Linked DNA regions of Alligator mississippiensis. The protein of the gene in region 1 purifies or fractionates together with the protein of each later gene. This does not show direct contact. Links are inferred from orthologs where the notes say so. Each region holds a gene or a part of one and is shown in the gene's direction. Other genes may lie near its edges.

The links.
Region 2: the proteins of NRP1 (region 1) and FAM241A purify together in Homo sapiens (affinity purification with mass spectrometry; 3 studies listed by BioGRID and IntAct, with this or other methods). This does not show direct contact. The link is inferred for Alligator mississippiensis from reciprocal best matches to the Homo sapiens genes NRP1 and FAM241A.

What each region holds. Positions count from the first base shown.
Region 1 is NC_081828.1:193,670,096-193,680,299, reverse strand, and holds the start of NRP1 (neuropilin-1), read left to right. Parts: upstream 1-5,211; 5' UTR 5,212-5,726; coding exon 5,727-5,799; intron 5,800-8,625; coding exon 8,626-8,800; intron 8,801-10,204. UniProt on the Homo sapiens protein: Cell-surface receptor involved in the development of the cardiovascular system, in angiogenesis, in the formation of certain neuronal circuits and in organogenesis outside the nervous system. Mediates the chemorepulsant activity of semaphorins.
Region 2 is NC_081825.1:126,284,866-126,295,276, reverse strand, and holds the start of FAM241A (uncharacterized protein FAM241A), read left to right. Parts: upstream 1-5,860; 5' UTR 5,861-5,944; coding exon 5,945-6,049; intron 6,050-10,411.

The sequences.
Region 1 (10,204 bases):
AAAGATTGGAAATACAAAGATAAATCTAACACTATTTTGTATTCTTTATGATTATATGTCTTTAATTTAGTGAGGCCATACATATCAAATGGCTTGTCTATGTCTTATGTGGAGCTGGTATCTTCATTGAAACACAAATACTGGTATATCATTTTTCTAACCAAATGTGAAAAGCTAAAATTGATAAAACCAGCTTATTATCTAAGGAACTTTTATCACAATTTAGGGCATGCTTTCTCTTCCTTTGAAGTCAGTGGGTGCATCTACAAGTGCACATTTACTGTGCAGTAACCAAAATTACTGCTCAGTATGAGTGCACCTTACACATGCATGCCTACTGTGCAGTAAATACAGCGACTTATGCTGACTTGACCATAAATTTGATACCTACATCATGCAGGTATCAAATTTATGCCTGTTTAGTTACTACACAGTAATGCATGTGTAGACACCTTATTGCGCAGTAACACTTTTTGTGTGGACTGTCTTGGGACTAACTTTGAAGCCTGCATATGTAGATGTTGGTCTCTTCTCGCTTACTGCGCAGTAACTTACTGTGCAGTAAATTTAAGCCAGTGTAAATGCATGTGTAGACACACCCAATGAAAGTTTTATCCTTGCTCTCAATAGGAATGTGATCAGCTCCTTAGCTTCAGACAGATCTATAGGTGTTATTTCCTTGATAATTGGTGATAACTACTTAAGAATCATTTTAGTCTACCAGGTATTGTTATTTCTTACTAATTTATGATTAAATATCAGTTAGGGTAATATAGTGTCATAAATTAAATTATGCTTCACATATCCTTTTTTTACAGCCTAATCAGAAAAGACAAACAACAGCAAGTCAAGCCACAAACAATAGTTCAGGAAAAGGAAGGTTTAGAGAGATGGCTGAGTGAGAAAAAGGGGAAGGAAAGGGTTGTGTAGATGTAGAAAAGATTCCAGGAGAGATTACTGGTAACACAATGAGGGGCACAGTTTAAGGAACTGAATAGAACAGAACAAAGCCTAGGAAAGAGGAAAAGATCTTCCAGTACAAAAAAAAAAAAAAAGAAAAAAAGAAAGAGAAACAGGCTCTTTCAGATATATGTGGCTGCATTTTGGAGACAGCAGAAGGCAGGGTAGAAATACACCTTATAGGATAGAGAAAACCATTGTATGTGAGAGTGAGTAGGAGGATGTACATTGTAGGAGGTGAAAACATATGGGGAAAGAAAGCTGTAGAGGAAGGCAAGCGTATGCGTGATCTTAAAGATAAGGGAAAGAAGCTTGAGTTCAGGGCACTAAAAGACAGGAAGCCATCTAAGAGATTTGAGGAAGTGGTTGATGGATCCAAAGAAACAGAAGAGTAGATGACATGAAAGCCCCATTTTGGACAGACACTACTTTAGCAGATAACTGAGAAACAGGATGGCCAGAGAAGACAGGATTACAAATAGACAAAGCATGAACTAGAACCAGATAAAGAAACTATCACATATTAGCTTTGCTTCCAGATCTGCAATAAAAACTAATGGAATTACTTTGATATAAAGTCACAGTGCACATCTCTGTTTGTCAGAAGCTAATATCTTGGATGGTTTTAATTTGTTCTATTCTTTTTCAAAATAACTCCAAATAAATATGTCTACCTTCATGATTATTTGCTTGCCAAACTTCGTTTTTTAATTAAATTTACTTCTGAGTTACATGAGTGCAGAAAAGAGGTAAACTTCAAAGTTGTTCTCTACTGTCGTTTAAATGGCAAACTATATTTTTCATTTGGTAGTTTAAGTTTTATATTACATGATTTAGCTAAGGGCAAATATTTGGTATGGCTGAATTATAAACTTCTCAAGAAGCAGGTTTATAATGGAAGTGGAGACAATCTTCAATAAGGCATTATAAACATTAAATCAAATTTCAAAGCAGAGACGGATCTGAACCAAAAGCCTAGAGGTGACCACTCCATGAACTTTGGCACAAAGTAGATTCAGATTCAGATGTTATAACCCCAGCCAGCCCCAACTAGGAAATCACTTTATTGATATAAAGATGTAAAGTTAAGCACATATGAAAGCATTTGCAGGATCAGTACAATAAAATGCAATAACCAAAATGTGAGAAATGGATTGCAGAACACAGGCTTCTGAGTATTTCATTTGATTCTAGTTTATATTTTAGATGATTAAAGATTCAACATGTTCAGATAATAAATAAATGGAAACTGGGGGCAAGGTGCTTTCAAACAATATTTGATGATGCTCATACATGGATGGAAGAGTGTGCATATGGATGTCTGCAAGAAAGAGATGAACAGAAAAAACATTGATGACATATGATAAGAGAAAAGGATGTTCGTATGCTGAGTTGTAGTACAATATCATGCACACTCAGAATAATATAAAGGAAATCTAACTCAAGATCTCAGTTTAGTTCTGAAGAAAGGAAGGAGTCCTGCTTTAAAGGAGGTTGCTGCTGTCTGGTAGCAAAATTGGATCTGTAGCCTAGTGCACACGTCTCTATAAGGGAAAAGGAACCATAGATTCTCTATATCTTAGTACACAGCTATCCAACTGGTGTCCTGCAGGCCACATACAGCTCTCAAGGGGTTACATTGCAAACCTCCCCCCCCTCCAGGCTCCTGCCAGTCTGCCACTCCCTCTGTCACTCCAAATGCAACAGCAGCCAGGGTCTCTGGCACCTTTGCCCCCCACCCCTTCCTGTCTCCAGTCCAGGGGGCAGGGAAGTGTGGTACAGGGTGATTTGGGGACCTAAGGATGCACTGCAGCTGTGGAAGGAGTTGCCAAGTGGGTGTGCAGTACCGCAGTGGGCACCATGCAAGTACACAGTGCAGCAATCAGGGATTGGGGACTGAGAGGCCAAGAGCCACAGGTTATGTGGCCCCCAGCCCCTTAGATGTAAGACAGCCCTGCCTTAGATTGTTGTAAATAGTCCTGGGATGTGGATTTAGTGCTCACCAGACAGGTGAGGTAGTGAAAGCAGCAATCATCACTTTTTTTTGCAAAATAGTACATGGATATTGCCTCCACATACATGGTGAATCTATTTGCTCTGTATTTACATGACTTATTTTAATTTTGATTATTTACATTTCTTTTAAAATATACAAAATAATAGTACTCTAAAGCTGAATATACATTTAATACATGAAAAAAGAACTTGCGTATCTGTTAGGAAAACAAAGTCAAAAGACAGATGGGTTTTTGTTTGGAGCACCCTAGAATAATGCATTTGGGAATGGATTTATTCTCTCTGTGACTTCATAGAGATGCACAACAGAACAACACTAGTCCCAAAGGAAGACAGCCATCATTTTCAGATGATGTGTAACATTTTAATACACTTATTCTTTGGGTGTTTGTTCAATAAGTAAAAATAAGACTATACTCAGCCTCTGAGACTGTTTTAAACACAAGTTATTAAAAACTCAAACAGACAACCTTAAATATGGAATTTACTAACTCAAAAAGTAGATACACCTCCTTGAAAAAGCTACATTGTGTCTCCAAAAGTGTCAGCCTAGCAGTTATATTAGGGATAGCACCATCTTAGGGGTGTGCTACACTGTGTCCACTCAGCATCTGTTCTTTAATAATCAGAGCAAAGTCATCCCAGACCCCCTCCCCAAGCTGCTGGAATATCACTAAGAAAGGCGGGGAAATCCGGTGGATCTTAATGTGCCATCCATAAAATATACATCACAATCGATCAAGAGGTATATGATGGGTGCCGAGACTGGCTGAAGACAGGGAAATGAGAAAAGGCTGAGACTAAACTTACTGTATTGACGTCTGACTAGCAGCTGGCAGCCAGCTCGTGATGAGCCAGGAACCAGTCTGCTCGAAGGCATAGGTAAGGGTTGAGATGGAGGAAAGAGAAGAAGTGGGTATTCAGCTATGATTAGGAGAACAAATTGCAGCTGAACTTTGGATATGATGAGACTGGAATCAGGAAACAGAAGAAGACTATCTGGTCCTGTGCCTGGCATTCAGGAACAACAATTATGATAGAGGGCATACTATAAAATAGTGATGAGCTAGATAGTCAGTTCTTTAAAGGACAGGACCATCTGCTCAGAAAGACAAAAGAATGGATAATGGAAATGAGGTGAGATTGAGTCAAGTTTGGAGGAGTCTAAGGCTGAGTGTGATTTCTCAGCAGGGATACAACATGTTTGTAGCTTTGTTGCATGCAACTGCAGACTTGTACAACTGTGTCTGAAAATTATTTCAACCACAGTTACAGGGGACAGGGATTTATGTTCTACTGCACAAGGCAAATGACCCTGGCCTCAATAGCGTCAAATCATTTTCTCACAGCATCCTCTAAAAAAATCTCTTTGTGGAACGAATTCCCTAATATGCTTTGGTTGCTGTGGTGGTGGTGGTAAGTTTTAACAGTGCTTGGCCCTGCTGTACACTAGTAACAAATTGTTTCCCAGCACCGGGGAGGAAGAAGGACCATGCAGCTGTAGGCTGTTTCCTAGAGCAGACCCATCCACCTTTCAGCCCTTAGAGGCCTTTCTCTACCCCTACCACAGCTCCCACAATAAAGGCAGTCCCGTTGAATCCAGGAGCTGCATGTGCCCTGCGTAAAGGGCTCCAATGGGGAGGTCTCCAAGGCAGGCCAGTAGGGCAAAGCAGGGATGGCAGCCGGACAGAAAGGAAAGAAAGATGCCAAGGCCCCTGTAATCCCAAGCCTGTCCCGCTGCTCGCCAGCCAGCGCCTGTGCCCTGGTGCTGGGGGCAGAGCGATGCAGTGATCTGCTTGCCAAGTATCTGGTGCTGGGCATTCCCTGCCCCAGAAGACACAGGCGGCCCCCTGGCATGGAGGGGGCAGGACAGGTTGTGGTAAGGGGCGAGAAGACACCCAGGCTGGGGAAGGAAGACTTCGAAGATGGGACGGGGAGGGGAGGCGAGCCCCTGGCAGCGGGCGGCGGCGGGCAGGAGCGGGGGAGTCTCCTCGCAGGCGCTGCAGGGGGCGCTGGGGGAGCCCCGGCCATGCCCCGGCTGCCGCCTGCCCCTCACCCCGGGGCGGCCGCGGGCTGGCGGGTCGTCCCTGGCTCCGGGCTGATCCTGCCCGGCTGCCCGCACCTCGGGGGGCGAGGAGGAGCCGGCGGAGGAGGAGGAGGAGGGCGGGCAGGGGGAGGGGCCGGGGCTCGGCAAGCGGCGGCTCCTCTGCCTCTCTTATTGCCGCGAGTCGCGCTCCCGCTCGCAGGCTGCGGGAAGGAGCCGCCCGCGAGCTTCGCACTTGAGCCGCCCGCCCCGGCCAGGTTGGTGGGGCAGCGGCAGCGGCAGCGGCAGCTCCCGGCCGGGGAAGCGGGTGCCGCGAGCCGGACGGCGCAGGGCAGGGCGCACGAGGCAGGAGGTCGCCCGAGGGCTCCCCCCTCATCGCCTCTCCACTCCCTCGTGTCCCCGCAGGCTCGCCACCCGCCCCTGCCCCCGCCCCCGCCCCCGCCCCGCCAGGATCCGGGCTCCGCCGGGCCGGGCATGGCCGGGGCAGCGCCGCCGGGGCGCGGAGCGAGCGCGGGGCCCGGGAGCTGAGCCGCGGGTGCGGGCGCCCGAGCCGCGACGCCGGGACTGAGCCGCCGCCGCCGCGGAGCTCGCCTCTGCCCCCGCGCCCGCGGGAGGATTTGGGATCGGAGACGAGCCGGGTGCCGAGGGGGCGCTCGGCTCGGGGGTTTGTGCTTCCCCTCTGCTTGCTGCCTGCCCACGAGGGAAGATGGCCTGGGGACTCCTCCTGCACTGCGCGGCGCTCGCCCTCGCCCTCGCCCTCGCCCGGGCTTTGCGGAGCGGTAAGTGGCGGGGCCGGGCAGCTGGGAGCGAGCGAGCGCCACGACCGCCGCCGGCGGGGCCGCCCCTGGGCAGCGCCGCGCTCGGGGCCCCGCAGGTGTCGGCGATCCCTGCCCCGCGCCCGCGCCCGCGCCGCCCTCACGCCTCCGCACCGGCAGCCCGCGGCTCCCCGCGCCGGAGCGGGCAGGGGACAGCGGAGGGTCCGGCCGGGCGGGGATCCCCTGACAAGGACTTTGGCAGAGACTTTACTTTCAGGCGACACTTGGACACGCAGCGCCGAGCCTCCCGAGCGGCCCCGCGGCGCAGCCGGGCTGGAGCAGGCTAGGGACTGTTTGACAGGAAAGAGCTCGCCTCAGTTCTTCCTCTCCCAGTAAACCCTGAGCCATTCCCATGAACTAATGATCAAATATTTACTTTGGCCTGACTGGGTTTTGAATCCAAGTGATTAAAGGAAGAGGCTTACAGTGGGATATGGTTTCAATAACAGAGACCACAAGTGGCGTGGCTGGCACAGGGAGGGAGTGGACTCCCCCTTGCTCTTCCCCGGGCGCTGGAGGAGGCTGCGGGGCTGGAGCCCTCCCGCAGCGAGCTGCCCTGTGCCAGTCTGAAGCGGGGCAGCATTAGTGAGCTCCAGTGGGGTCCCGAGGTGAGGAGTGGGCAGTGCCCCTCCTTTTCAGTCTGAAGCAGACTGTGTAGGTGGACCCCGCTGCTCCCTATTCGGGCCGGGCTTAGAGGCCAGCGTGGGAAAATCCTGGGGCTGTACCGACTGCATGGGACCGGGTGATGGGGATGTGTGGGGTGTGCTTTGGCAATAGTCTTCCTTCAGGAAGGAACAGGGAAGGCGGCGGCTGTTGCTGGAGCTAAGGAGCAGGCTCCCTGTGTATAGTCATAGACATGATGTAGTAGCCCTATCAAGGCACCAAGGCTGTTAACCTCGCCTGTGACTTTCCAGACCTACTAATGCCCTGTCCACCCTCATCCAGTACCAGTGCCTGCTGAATTAATTCATTAACCTTATTTAGTCCAAACGGCCCGAAGACATTAGAAACTGCTCTTCTTAATCAAGTGTCAGAGAGATTTCACAGAGCCGGGGAGTCTAACAGACCACATTATCTTATTATACTGTCACTTTCCCAGAAGTCGCAGATTAAAGAGCACTGGTGGTAGTGAGTGCACCTCTACATCTCCTGAAGTGACTCTGTCAAGTGACTAGAAACAGCACTGTTTTATTTCACTCATTTAACAGATGCCAGATTCTGCCATGTTGTTTGCACAGAGCTGAAGTGGATTTAATGAGGCAGGATTGCTTTCCAAGTCTGCTACACGCTGAAAATAATGCAAGGGTCTGTTGGAACCATAGGCAAAAAGATCACTAGTGGCACATTTAGGGCAGTACCTTTTGTTCTTGGCAATGGGGGGGAAATGGTTTCCAAAGCCAAAAGGCAAACAGATAATAAGCTAGTGCCATCCTAGGAATGGGTAGGAATATGCAGTCTTTGATAGCATGGGTAGGAATATCTGGTCTTTGGGAAAAAAAAAAACAAAACATAGACTCCATCACTTCCTTCCCTTATAATTTATAGCAAATGATTTCTATAATGCGTGTAGCTTTATGCATTTTTGATGCACACTTCATCTTTCATTTCCATTTGACCTGGTTTTCCTGTAATAAAATTCTGTACATTCATAAATTCATGCTGAGAGCAAGGAATGCCATTTTCCTTCCACGGGGAATCTATTAGATACAGTGTTACAATCAGTGTATACCATTATTGGGAAATAGTGATACATGGGCTTATTTATTAGTGCATACCTGCTTCTCTTCTATAGTTTATTGCCATATCTTATTGCTGAAAATGAAATATCGGTATATGGGGGAAAAGTGTTTTGGGCTGAAGATCCGCAGTAGGAAATCCATAGTAATGAAATGTGACAATGCAAGCCTATCCTGGACAATGGAACAACCAACTTGGCAAAGCCCTTTTAGCTTTGCATTACTTTCCTCTATTTAGTCTGCTAAAAAACATTATCATATTTCATTGTTTGCAAAGGAGCAAGATGTAGAAGACTAAATTTCATACTTGCATCTGGTGACTGGTAACTTTTTCAACTGTTTAGGAATAAACCTTTTGTTGCTGTTGTTTTTGGGGGGAGAAAGCGGTTCTGCTTCATTACTTTGATCTGGTCCCCAGGCATGAACAAACTTCCTTAAAGGAGTAATACTGAATGATTTCTGCTTCACTAAATGCACTTTGTTCTCTGTTAGTCTGGATTTAAAGAGCACTGATAACTTCAAATTGCTTAGATTTATGGGCTGATAAACAAAAGAAGGGTCTGCTGTGAGCAAAGTAGGGGACTACAAGACAACCCCTGATGGTCAATGACACAGGCCAGGCTTATTATCAAATAGCTGTGCAGGGGGGCAGACAGCATCTTTTTAGACCCTTTCCACTTAAAACTTGTTGCCTAATGAGATTACACTTCTCTGAGATAATTAAATCTAAAAGAAACCCCTGTGAGCCAATGTTACCATCAATTGTGAAGATACGGTTGTCTGTATTTGTGAAGTGAGCCTTTGTTAAGGAACACTGTTTTGAATCGTGGTCTCTCTAAATTAGAACCACCATTTAGAAAGATTACGCATTACTACCACCAGTTCACAGGAACTGTGATCTACTTTAACCAGTAGAACACAGTAAAAGTTTGCTATAGAGACTGTAGAAAACACAACATTTAAAACAGCAAATAGTTGACCACTTCCAGGTTACTAGATGAAGAAGTGTGATGGTTTGGGGAGAATAAACAAAATCTGTTTGTTTTCATTGCAGATAAATGTGGTGATACTATAAAAATTATAAATCCTGGGTACCTTACTTCTCCTGGCTATCCTCATTCCTATCATCCAAGCCAAAAATGTGAATGGCTGATTCAAGCTCCTGAACCCTACCAGAGAATTATGATCAACTTCAACCCTCACTTTGATTTGGAGGACAGAGATTGCAAGTAAGTGAGAGCCTCTGAAAAGGGCACCATAGCACCATCTAGTGGATAAAAATATTCATAATGTCAACTTGCTGCTTATCTACTTGGTGAAAAACAGCTGACGTGTGCAAATTTGCATGGAAAATGAATTCATGAGAGATTTGAATCTAGACTAGATTAGTGGTAAAATGTTAGTGGTAAAGACATTAAAGTTAGGTGTTGTGCTTCCTGAGCCTGAAAAACCTAGTAAGATTATGTTTGATTTAATCTTATAATCCTTCTGTCTCCTTTTCCTGGATACAGAAGCCCAATATATTTTTTCCCCGTTGAAATGCTCTCCTCAGTGTTTGCAGCCATTCAGTAGTGGTGAAGTGGCTGTGAGTGAGTGGAAAGAGGGGACTAATGCTTTGGTTTGCATTCCTCTTTAACAGTGAACTACTAAAACTATATAAGAACCATATATCATAAAATGGTTAGTTAGAGCATTTTTTAGCTAAGTGAAATCCTTCTGTAATGTTCTACTACTAAAAACTGCATTTGAATTACTTATATTTGACAGGAGAAGCCATAAATTCACGTGGCATTACAATACTACATGGAGTGTGACTAGAATGAAAGAAACACACAGCTTCTCCAATCATTCTGGGGTAGAATGGGAGATTATATCAACACAATTATTCCTCTTAATAAGATAGGACTAGCCTGAGAATTTGCTCTTATCTATTAGTAATGGGTAGTGGACAGCAGTCTGATAGCTACAGTTTCTCTCCTGCCCCTCCCTCTGCTGCTGGTCTATATCAGACTACTGCCTCTGGAGAGTGGGATATTAAGAAGACTGAAGGTAGAAACAACCACAGCCCCATTCCTGCTTATCCATACTCAAAGTCCTGTACAAGCTGTGCTCTACCTCTGTTCTTTGGGCCAAGAAATGGACAGACAGCATATAGTCTGATCAGATGTTCAGGTCCCATTTTGTAATAGGCAGTCCCCAATTTCATGCCATTGGATTCAAGAACATGTTTTAATTATTCTTTATTTAAATTGTGCATGGCCCCTCTCAGTGATCGTGACAATCTAATGACCTCATCTACATGCCCCAAAATCCAAAAATGGATAAAAATCAGTGCCAATCAGTGAGGCTTGGCACTTCCTAGGAGCCCTCAACATCTCACTAAACTGCTGCTTAAATTCAGCTTTATAAAGGAGAGAGAAGAGATGAGACAATGGGGAAAAGAGGGTCAGTATTAGTGGAAATTTTTTTTTCCCATATATGTATTCTTGGTTCCTAATTTTAATCACAAATTGATTTAGTTATTTTATAAACATTGATTTCTTTTAGAGTGAATGTCAGTAGTGGCAGAGTATAGTAGCTCACTTTACATTTAATCAATTTTCAGTGTTGTGCAGTCCAGTGTAGGCCAGTGT
Region 2 (10,411 bases), on another chromosome or scaffold:
AGTGACTAGAAGTTGTTTTGCAAGCCCCTGAATAGGACTCCAAAATATTAGGAACAGCTAGGATATACATACCATCATGAGAGCTTGGTTTAGCTACAAGAGAAGGCAACCTTTTACAGTAGTCCTGGGAGGCAGTAATAAGAATGGTGACAAGTATAAGCTGCATTTTTTTAAATCTTGGGGGTGTTTGTTATAGCCATGTTGATATAAGACCATAGGCAGACAAGGTTCTTTGGGTAGATGTGATATCTTTTATTAGACCAACCAAATAGTTTGGGAAAAAAAAATTCTTTGCAAGCTTTCGGGCACAAACAGCCTTCTTCACGCACAGGGAGAGTCTGCTGGTGCTTGTGTGCTCTCCAGGATGGAATAGCAGTGTAAGCCAATATGTAAAATGTAGGTCTGTGAAAATGCAAATGCATGGCATGGAAGTTCAGAGTGGATGGGAAACAATATGTGCGAGGCAGGTATGTGGTGGGGGGGAAGTGGGGAAAGTTGACCTGGAGACAGAATGTAGCTGATAAAATGTAGAGAGGTTACCTGAGATTATTGATTTACAGGCAAGTTATAATGTGCCATAAATCCAATGTCTATATTCAGTCCATGATTTTTTGTATCCTGTAGATTTATGAAGTGAAGTTCATAGGCTTATCTACAAAAGGTGTTTTGTAAATTCCGTTTGAGGATTAGAACTAAGAAATTGGAGAGAGAGTGGTTGTCTTGTGAAAAGTGTGCACCCACAAGTAATTGGGTATTTTTGTCTTTGATGATGTTTGGTGTATATTCATTCTGGTATGCAGTTGTTGTCTGGTTTCTCCTACATATTTTCCATCAAGGCATTCAGTACATTTCTGGAGGTGCAGGTATAAAATACAGGAATGGTGATGGTTCTGTGGTAGGGTGTAGTAATTGTGGGGGTAGTGGAGATATGTTTGCAGGTTTTACATGTCTTGTCCTGACATGGTCTAGATCCATTTGGTGTGCTTTGGGCCATAGGAAGTTTTCTTCTGGTGATAAGTTTGGTGAGGTTCAGTGCTTGTTTAAAGGCTAGGATGTGTGGTTCTGGAAAAATCTCTTTAAGAACTGGTCTTCTTCTTGGGAGCCATGGGATTCTTCAGCCTGGAAAAGTGCAGACTCAGGGGTGATCTGGTGGCCACCTATAAGTTTATCAGGGATGCTTACCAGGATCTGGGGGAACAGATGTTCACCAGAGTGCCCCAAGGGATGACAAGGTCAAACGGTCACAAACTCCTCCATGACCGTTTCAGGCTGAACATAAGGAAGAACTTCTTTACTATCCGAGCCCCCAAGGTTTGGAATAGACTGATGCCAGAGGTGGTTCAAGCACCTACTTTGAACACCTTCAAGAGACATTTGGATGTTTATCTTGCTGGGATCCTATGATCCCTGCTGACTTCCTGCCCCTGGGGCAGGGGACTGGACTCGATGATCTTCCGAGGTCCCTTCCAGCCTGAATGTTTATGAAATCTATGAATCTTGTATGGGTTGCAATTGTTTGCGGATTTTCTGTATAGGTTCCAGGGAAGGGTGGTATGTCAAAACTAATGGTGTGTGATTTGTGGGGAATTTCTTTTTGTACTGCGGCAATTCTTCAGCTAGTATCCAAGTGGCTCTTTCAAAAGTGTTTTTTAATCTTTCCTTTTCTCTCTTTTTTTGTGTGTTTGTTGCACTCCGTCTTAAAGAAAGAGGGATTGGAATTCAACAACTTACCATCTAAACTAACCATGTCTTTTTTCCTTCTAAATGGGGCAGTTAATAACTTCTAGGAAAGTGACAGTGCATGTCCCTATAGACGATGACAGAACAAAGGAGAACGGGAATAGGAGGTAATGTTAACCTGAAAGCCTTGCTTCCTACTTTGTATTTCAAACACTTTAACTGATTTTATTATTGTATTTGCCTTGAATGAAAAGTTAAACAATAATATGATTGCTATAATGAAATTGTCAATGCTAGCTTGATACAAAAGCCTGGGGGACATTTTCTTTTAAGCTTAACCTTAGCTCTGAATTTCCTGGTTTAACAAACCTTAGGCTGCAATTGGACCTAGACAGGATACGGGGGCGGACAGATGAGAACAGGGTGGTTTTCAACACTGACAAGTGCAAGGTGATGGACCTGGGGAGGAAGAACCAGCAGCATACCTACAGGCTGCGGAACTCCCTTCTTGTCAGTGCAGAGGCAGAAAAGGATCTTGGAATCATTATTGATGCCAAAATGAACATGGGTCGACAGTGTGGGGATGCGATCAGGAAGGCCAAAAGTACCTTGTCATGCATCCAAAGATGCATCTCATGCAGGTCCAAGGAGGTGATCTTCCCCCTCTATGCAGCACTGGTCAGGCTGCAGTTGGAGTACTGCTTCCAGTTCTGGGCACCGCACTTCAGAATGGATGTGGACAACATGGAGAGGGTCCAGAGGAGGGCCACCCGCATGATCGGGGCAGCAGGGCAGACCCTACGAGGAGAAGCTACAGGACCTGAACCTGTTCAGCCTCCACAAGAGAAGGCTGAGGGGGGATCTAGTGGCCTGTTACAAACTAGTCAGAGGGGACCAGCAGGCATTGGGGGAGTCCCTGTTCCCCCGAGCACTACCAGGAGTGACTAGAAATAACGGTCACAAGCTGGCAGAGGTTAGTTTCAGACTAGACATCAGGAGGCGCTACTTCACAGTCAGGGCGGCTAGAATCTGGAACCAACTTCCAAGAGAAGTGGTGCTGGCTCCTACCCTGGGGGTCTTTAAGAGGAGGCTAGATGAACACCTTGCTGGGGTCGTTTGACCCCAGTGCTCTTTTCTGCCATGACAGGGGGTCGGACTTAATGATCTGTCAAGGTCCCTTCCAACCCTTCAAACTATGAAACTATGAAACTAGTTTTTAGATCATTATAAATATTAACAGAATAATTTGCCATATGTAAGTCATGTGTATTATCACTCCTCGCTTCATTTAAATGCAGTGCTTGTTTTGGACTTTGATCTAAGGGTGGTTGCTGAAGAGAGTTTGTTGTACTTCCTGCTTCTGCTTTCAGACAGAAAACAACAGGCAGAAATGATAGGCTTGCTCTGAGTTTCATGTTCTAACAATGGCCAGAAGCTCTCCTGGAGAGAGGCAGTTAGTCGTCTTAGTTTGAAGTGTGGCAGGGTAGAGATGAACCTTGTAGAGTAACCAAATCAGAGATGTTGTAGCAGACGCTGTCATAAGCCTGCTGCTTAGGAAAACTTCTGCTCCATTTCTCTGACTTAGCTAATCTATATAGGACCCTGTTACATCATCATGTAGCTAGAATCCAGCTATGAAGTTGTTACACAATTTCAAGCACTAACTTTATAGTTGGTTGATTCTTTTTATAGCTGGCAAATCATTTTTTTTATCATGCTGTAATTACTTTGCATGGTGGCCCATCTACGTTTATTTTGCAGTGGACTAGTCACTTGCATAATATATGTAACACTTGACAACCTTGGAGGTTTTTAAGACCTGGTTGGACAAAGCCTTGACTGGAATGATATAGTTGGGGATGGTCCTGCTTTGAGCAGTGGGTTGGACACTAGATGACCTCCTGAGGTCCCTTCCAACCCTATTTTTATGACTCAGTGAATGTGTAGCAGCAGCCCATAGAGCAGAAAAAGTATCTTCCCTTCATCCTTGTTTACCTCTCACTCACAATGACAGTTTCCCGCTGTCCCAGCCATCCTGGAGAGTCACTGAGGAGGTACTGAACCTCTCAGTGAGATTTGAAAGCTGTCTCAAGTCCACCACAAGCGAGTTCCAGCCCAGAGGCACAGCTTGAGCGGAGGGTTCCAAGGCTAGGGTATTAGGTCTATGTTGTGTCAGGGTTGATCTTACGTTGAGTTTACAGGATGGTTGTATGGGATGGTTTGGATAGAGCTGATCCTGCCTCAGGCAGGGAGTTGCACTGGATGCCCTCTGGCGGTCCCTTCCAGCCTGACCTCTCTGACTCTGTGACATGAGAGCTGGGAGGTGATAAAGGGTTGTTGATTATAGCCGTGTTGGTCTAAGGCAGGGGTGGGTAAAATGCAGCCCGTGGGCCAGATGCGGCCTGCCAGGCCATTCTATCCGGCTCATGGGGCCCCTACAAAATTTAGAAAATTAATATTTATTTGCCCTGGCTGCCTATCATGCAGCCCTCAATGGCTTACCAAAACTCAGTAAGCGGCTCTCTGCCCGAAATAATTGCCCGACCCTGGTCTGAGGACACAGGCAGACAAGGTTCTTTGGGTGAATGTGATATTGCTTTTCATCCTCTTGTGAGCTAAGATTGAGTGTAGGGAATAACTGAAGTCCCGGACTAACGCGTCTAGGATGCAGGATGCTTGCCTGTAGTATCTGGGGGCATCCAAACCCCAAAACCTCTGGGCTTTGGCCTGCACACAAGATGCCTGCCTATAGGTCTGGGAGTACAGCTAACCCCCACTTAGTGGTCTTAATTGGTTCCTGAAAAACCCAGCGTTAAGCAAAACGAGCATTAGGCAAAACCTAAAGTAACTGAGATCCAAGATGGTGACTGCAAGTTTTTTTAATGATACAAGGTAGCGACTACGAGCGTTATAATGAAACTTGCTGAGCGCTAAGTGGAATCAGGTATCAATTTAAAATGAACGTCATAGCAAAATAGCAATAAGCAAAACAACGTTAAGTAGGGGTTGCCTGTACTTGAAGTCCCAGATCATATAGGTTTTTGGGGGTAAATGCAGTATCTTTTATTAGACCAACTAAATAGTTTGGACAAAATTTTCTTTACAAGCTTTCAGGAACAAACACCCTTCTTCAGGCGCAGGGAGAGTCTGCTGGTTTGTGCTCTCCTGGGTGGAATAGAAGTGTAAGCCAACATGCAAAATGCAGGTCTGTGAAAATGCAAATGTGTGTCGGGGAACATCAGAGTGGATGGGAAGCAATATGTGCACAGGCTAATGTGCCCTGGGCCGTGCACACCCCTAGGGATGGCTCTGGTGATAGGTCTGGGGTGGAGGATGTTGCCAGTTGCAGTGCCGTACACGGCGTTTAAAACGATGGAGTCGTGCTCATTGGTGACGCGTAGGGGGTGCACACGCACCCCCTGTGATTGGCCACCGCCATGTGCTGGTGGTGCCTGCAGGCAGTCGCTGCTTGCCACCACCCCCCCTTGCCACCAACACCGTTGCTGCCATCTGCAGGCCATCGCTGATCTCCGCTGGCTGTTGCCAACACTGCCAGTGGCATCTGTGGGTAGCCACCCCCGCTGCTGACGCTGCTGCGACCACCTGTGGGAGCTCCCACCGTGCCCCCGCAGCCTCTTCAGGCACACATTGTTCAGGGTCGCCCCTGCTTCATCGATGCCATTTTTGGAAGCTCGAGTTCTGCTCAGTCAATGCGATTTGACTCATTTGACCTGGAACACGAAATATTATGTGTGTGTGTGTATGTATATATATATATATATATATATATATATATAAAGCGGTATCTTTGACGGGCATTTGTGCAAAGCAACAATTTTCCCGACTCTTGATCTAAAAGCTACCGCAGGTGCCCTCGCCCGCCTGTGCGGTGATAAGGGCAAGCTCAGGCCCGAACCGCCCCCCAGCTCTCCCTGCCTGGCTGCTGCCCTGCAGGGATGTCACGACTGGGTTGGGAAGGGGCCGCTCCTGCCCCGCGGGGCTCCCTTCCCTTACCTTCCCGCCCGGCTCCCGGAGCAGGGGGAGCGTGAGGAGAAATTACGGCCCTGCCTCCCTCCCTCGTTCCCCCCTCCCCACGGCGCTGCCCAGGGGCTCCGGCGCCGGCGGGAGGGAGCGGCTCCCCTCGGCGCCTGCGCGGCCGCCGCTCCCGCCCCTGCCACCCCGTGACGCCCGGGCGCGCCCTGCCCAGCCGGCGGCAGCGGCGCCGCCTCCTCCCGCTGCGGCCGCGCGGCTCGGGCTCGGGGCGATGGGATCCAGGGCGGAGGTGCTGCCGCCCGCGGACTGCGGCTGCGAGGGGGACCCCGGGGCGCAGGAGCAGGTCGGTGCCGCCCAAGCCCGGCGGGAGCAGCAGGTGGGTGCAGGGGCTCGGGACGTGGGGGGCGCCCCACCCTGCGGCATGGGCTGGCACCTGCTGCGCGGCTGGCTGCTGAGGGCACAGATTTCCCGCGGAGGGGCGCCCCCGGCCTGAAGCAGGATGCACGCCGTCCTGTGCAAGCCATCATCCAAACTCTGCCTTGGAGGGACAGAGAGGGAGCTGCTGCCTTAATACCTGGCAGGGTCTGGGAGCAGCTCTGGGGATTTTTTCAGAGTCAAAAAAATGCCCGAGTGGCGAAGGGATGCATGTGGCAGCCGGGGCGTTCTGAGGCAAAAAGGAGTGCAACCGGCTCCAACTCTTGGGTCCTACGTATTTCCTACCTATGGGGACTCTTTACCATCTTGAGCTTCCCCTGAGCCTGATGAGGGGCGCGTGAGCCCGGCAAACATGCAGCAAACGATGATTTTTTTTTGCCGTTTCTTAGTTGGTCTCATAAAAGGTCTCGGTTTGGAACCAAGAGTTCTTGATTTTTTTGCATTTCTGCAAGTGATGAAGGGAGTCTGTGCCCAGAAGCTTGCAAAGAACAAATTTCCCAGCCGTTTAGTTGATCTAATAAAAGATCTTGCAGTGTCCGCAAGTGAAAGCAAAGAGCCAGGTGCCTCCTGTCTCAGCCCACCATCCGCTGTTTTACGGTCCCAGCCACCCATGACACGAGCGGTCGCTTGCCTAGTTTCTAGCTCCCGTGATGTGCCAGGTTTCTTCCTGGAGGCCTTGGGGTTCAGATGCCCCCAGTCACACTTGATCTTAGTCGCAAAAAGGCCGAGATGCAATGGGAATGGGCCGATGACAACCTACCTCAAGAATAGGTTAGTATAGCCCTTCTGAATGAGGTGACATGCCAGGTGTTGCAGAGAGAGAGCTGGCAAGCCAGGTTAGGGAGGTTCAGTGCCAGAGGTCTCGTTCTTTGGTTATGTGTCTGGAGAGTCGGTGGCCACGATCCCTCCACACGAGGATGCTTTCTGCCACGGCTCATCTGTGGGTCTTGAGGTGACATGAAAGCCCAATCCTCGAGCCACAGGTCCATCTGCAGGTCAGAGTAGGTTGCAGACTGGCATTCCTTTCTTTAACTTCCTCTGCTTCCACGGCAAGAGACTTGGCCTTAAACCTGAACACTAGGGCTGAAGTGTGTGTGTGTGTGGGGGGGGGTAAGGGAAAGGAAGAGGTTGTTGGTATCCTTCCTGCAAATTAAAGTTCTGTCACTTAGTATCCAGGGGGAGGAAAACCGACCAGTTTTAAGGATGATCACTTTAGAGCGAGAGTCACTTAAAAAAAAAACAAAAACAAAAAACACTGTCTGAATTGGATAAGCCATTTAAAATCTGTTTTCTACAGTTCCTGCAGCCAGGCACACAATTTCCTCAGTTTAATGACTTAAGCTAATGAGCGATCTGAATGGCAAGATAAAATTGAGGCATAAATTACTCCATTAAAGATGGCTCAAAATGGCACTATATTAATAACCACATGTATGAGACAGGAAGTACAGATCAAAACAAGTTACGTGATCTTTCTTAAGCATTTTCTTTATGTTGAGGCTAAAAATCCATTACGTTGGGGGCGAAAGTCTGTTATGCAGTTATCTACTACTATAAGACAGCTTTCAGTGTGTGATATAAAACCACACATTGTTAGCTCAAAGTTTTTGATAAATTGCATTTGCACATACAGTATCATTTTTATTATGCTCCATGCTATGAATGGCTGTTTTGATAAGGTGTTTTTTTCTCCTAACAAAATTCTGAGAAATCAGATTTAGCATGCAAGAAAATGTAGAAAAAAGGTTTTGGGGGGGGTTGTTTGTTTATTTGGGGGGTTGATATTGTCAGAATATCAAATATCAATCCCCAGCCTGTCTCTCACTGTTAGCACTAACCTAGACTTTAAAACCACATGTTGCACTACTGGGGAAAATCTCATAATTTTCCCAAGGTATTAAGTTAAAGGGTTTTCTAAAGCCACAGTAAACTCTTACAATAATACAGTAGTTTTTTTCCCCCAAATAGTCTTTAAAAATTATTTTTATTTTACAATTTATTTACTCAGGTTATGGATTTGATGGTATATGGTGAAATTGCATATTCCACTCAGGCAATAAAAATAGATGGGTTAATGAACTTTTCATTGTGAAAATCCATTACGCAACTAACATTTTCATAGTGGCAAAATGTTTGACTTGCAGATTCTAAATTGCCTAACTCAGCTCAGAAATACCTTAATAGGTCAGAATGTTTTTGACACTATGGATTCATATTTGAAATCTCTAGAGTTTATCTTGTGGATCACGTGGGTGTTTGTCCATCTAACAACACCCTTAAAAGAACTTCACTTGCGTGTGTGTGCAGGTGGATAAGATAGTCAAGATGGGTACAAAGACAGAAGTAGTGGCTTCATTGTATGCTTTCCACTACCTAAAGAGTGCAGAAAATTTTACCATGGTCATTCTGATTGCCATTCACATTATTGTTTTGTGTTCCAGGAAAATATCATAAGCTCTGTCAGAAGAGCTCAGCCTTTAACACTGACTGGACCAGCACTAACTTTCCCTCTTAAAAAGGAACTTTTTGCAGACTAGCAATGACAGGCTTTTCTGGAGCCATGCCCAGCAGGAGTACACCTCCACATGTTTTATGGTCCACTGTGTTTGATCATGACTGTTCTACTTTCACTGTGCCAAAGCTGTCATCCTGGAGGGATAATTTGGTGGCCATAAGACTATCTTGCTGTTAAGAATTTCTCCCTCCCATTTTATGCAGTAATGTTGATCTTGAACACAGAATGGTGTCAGAATGCCTACAGCCAATTAAGGGAAAATACAAGTTCAGATGTAGTAGAAATATTTTCTCACTATAGCATATTTTCCCAGATTAAGGTGCTGAACTATGAACAAACAATAGAGCAGAAGCAGCATTATAAAATGCAACAAAATATAGGACATTGATAAGTTTTTAATGAAAAAAATGAAGGAAAAAACTTTTAAATGTAAATAAGGTCAAAGAGTCAGCAAATGAGTGAAAAAAATTCTTTTTTTTCCTTCTTTCTTTCCAGATCAGCTGATTCTAAATAGATCAGAATGAATCATGCATGGTTAACTAATTTTGTTATTCTGTATGTTGTTGCTGACTGAGCCAGTAAATAACCACTAAGTCTCCTGTACTTCAGGAACCAGCTGTTGACATAATGTGTTTTCCTGTGTTTTGTCTTTCTGCATTAAAAAATAACAAGGGATTTAAGAGTGGAATGAGAAGGTACTTAGTTCCTCTGTGCTGTATACAAAGTGTAAAAGAAGTGTATAAGTATACACTTATAGTGTATAAGAAGACAAGCAGTAAGATTCTGCCCAGTTACAGTGGTGTAAATTTTTACAGTCTCCAGTGGGGTTTCTCTGGACTAATGTTAGTGTATGTAAGACTTGATTTTGGAACTAAGCCTGCATGCACATTTTGTGTGTGGCAAGGCCCTGAACTTTGTAAAAGAGATTTCTTTTATGCCCACTGGGAATGGGCTCAGCCTGAGTAGGGTTGTACCCAATATGGTTATGTTAAACTTATCCTTCCTGCCTCAAAAGACCCAAATAATTACAATTACTCTGTTCCAGTCACAAGCTCTTGTAATATTGAGTGTTTAATGTGAGTAATGTGACTCTCTGACAAGTCTGGTTTTTGAGGAATGCTAAACTCTTTGGCCTTAAAATCTTTTTGAACTTATTAATAAGATATACTCAGTAAAGGTTCCCTTTGTGATATTAACAAGACGTACATTTTTAAGAAGAAAAGAAAAATGTATTTAATGTCACATACAGTTGCTCTGTGAACTTCTTTGTCACAGGAGGTCGTAGAATTAACTGCTGCCTGTGACTGGATTTAAAAACGCACAGAGAGAAGAGAGGTGTATTCTCAGACTGCAACTTTTCTTGCTTGTAGATATAAATAAGGCTTTGTCTATGCTGGAAAGACTATTTTGGAGGAGGAAGAGAAATAACTTTAGTTGCTGAGGGATAACTTGCCTTACATCCACATAACTTCTTAAAATTATATTATCTCACTAACTGATCCTCTTCAGAAGATGAATATTCTGAAGATGTGTGGTTGTGTACTCGTTGTGGGGAGAGGAGGGTAGGGGGGAATAAGGTGTAACTCCTTTATCTTGTACTGCCTAACTTGACACTTTGATTCACCTGTCTGTATGCCCTCAAGTGCTCTGAGGTCATTTTGACTAATGTGATGCACTGCTCAAATGGTGGGTCACAGCCAGGTCTATCCCTTTATGTTTGCATCTTGTGACAAGTATGGAACCCAAGTGTCGTGTGTCCATTACAGCAGCCACGCTGTACTTCTTGTG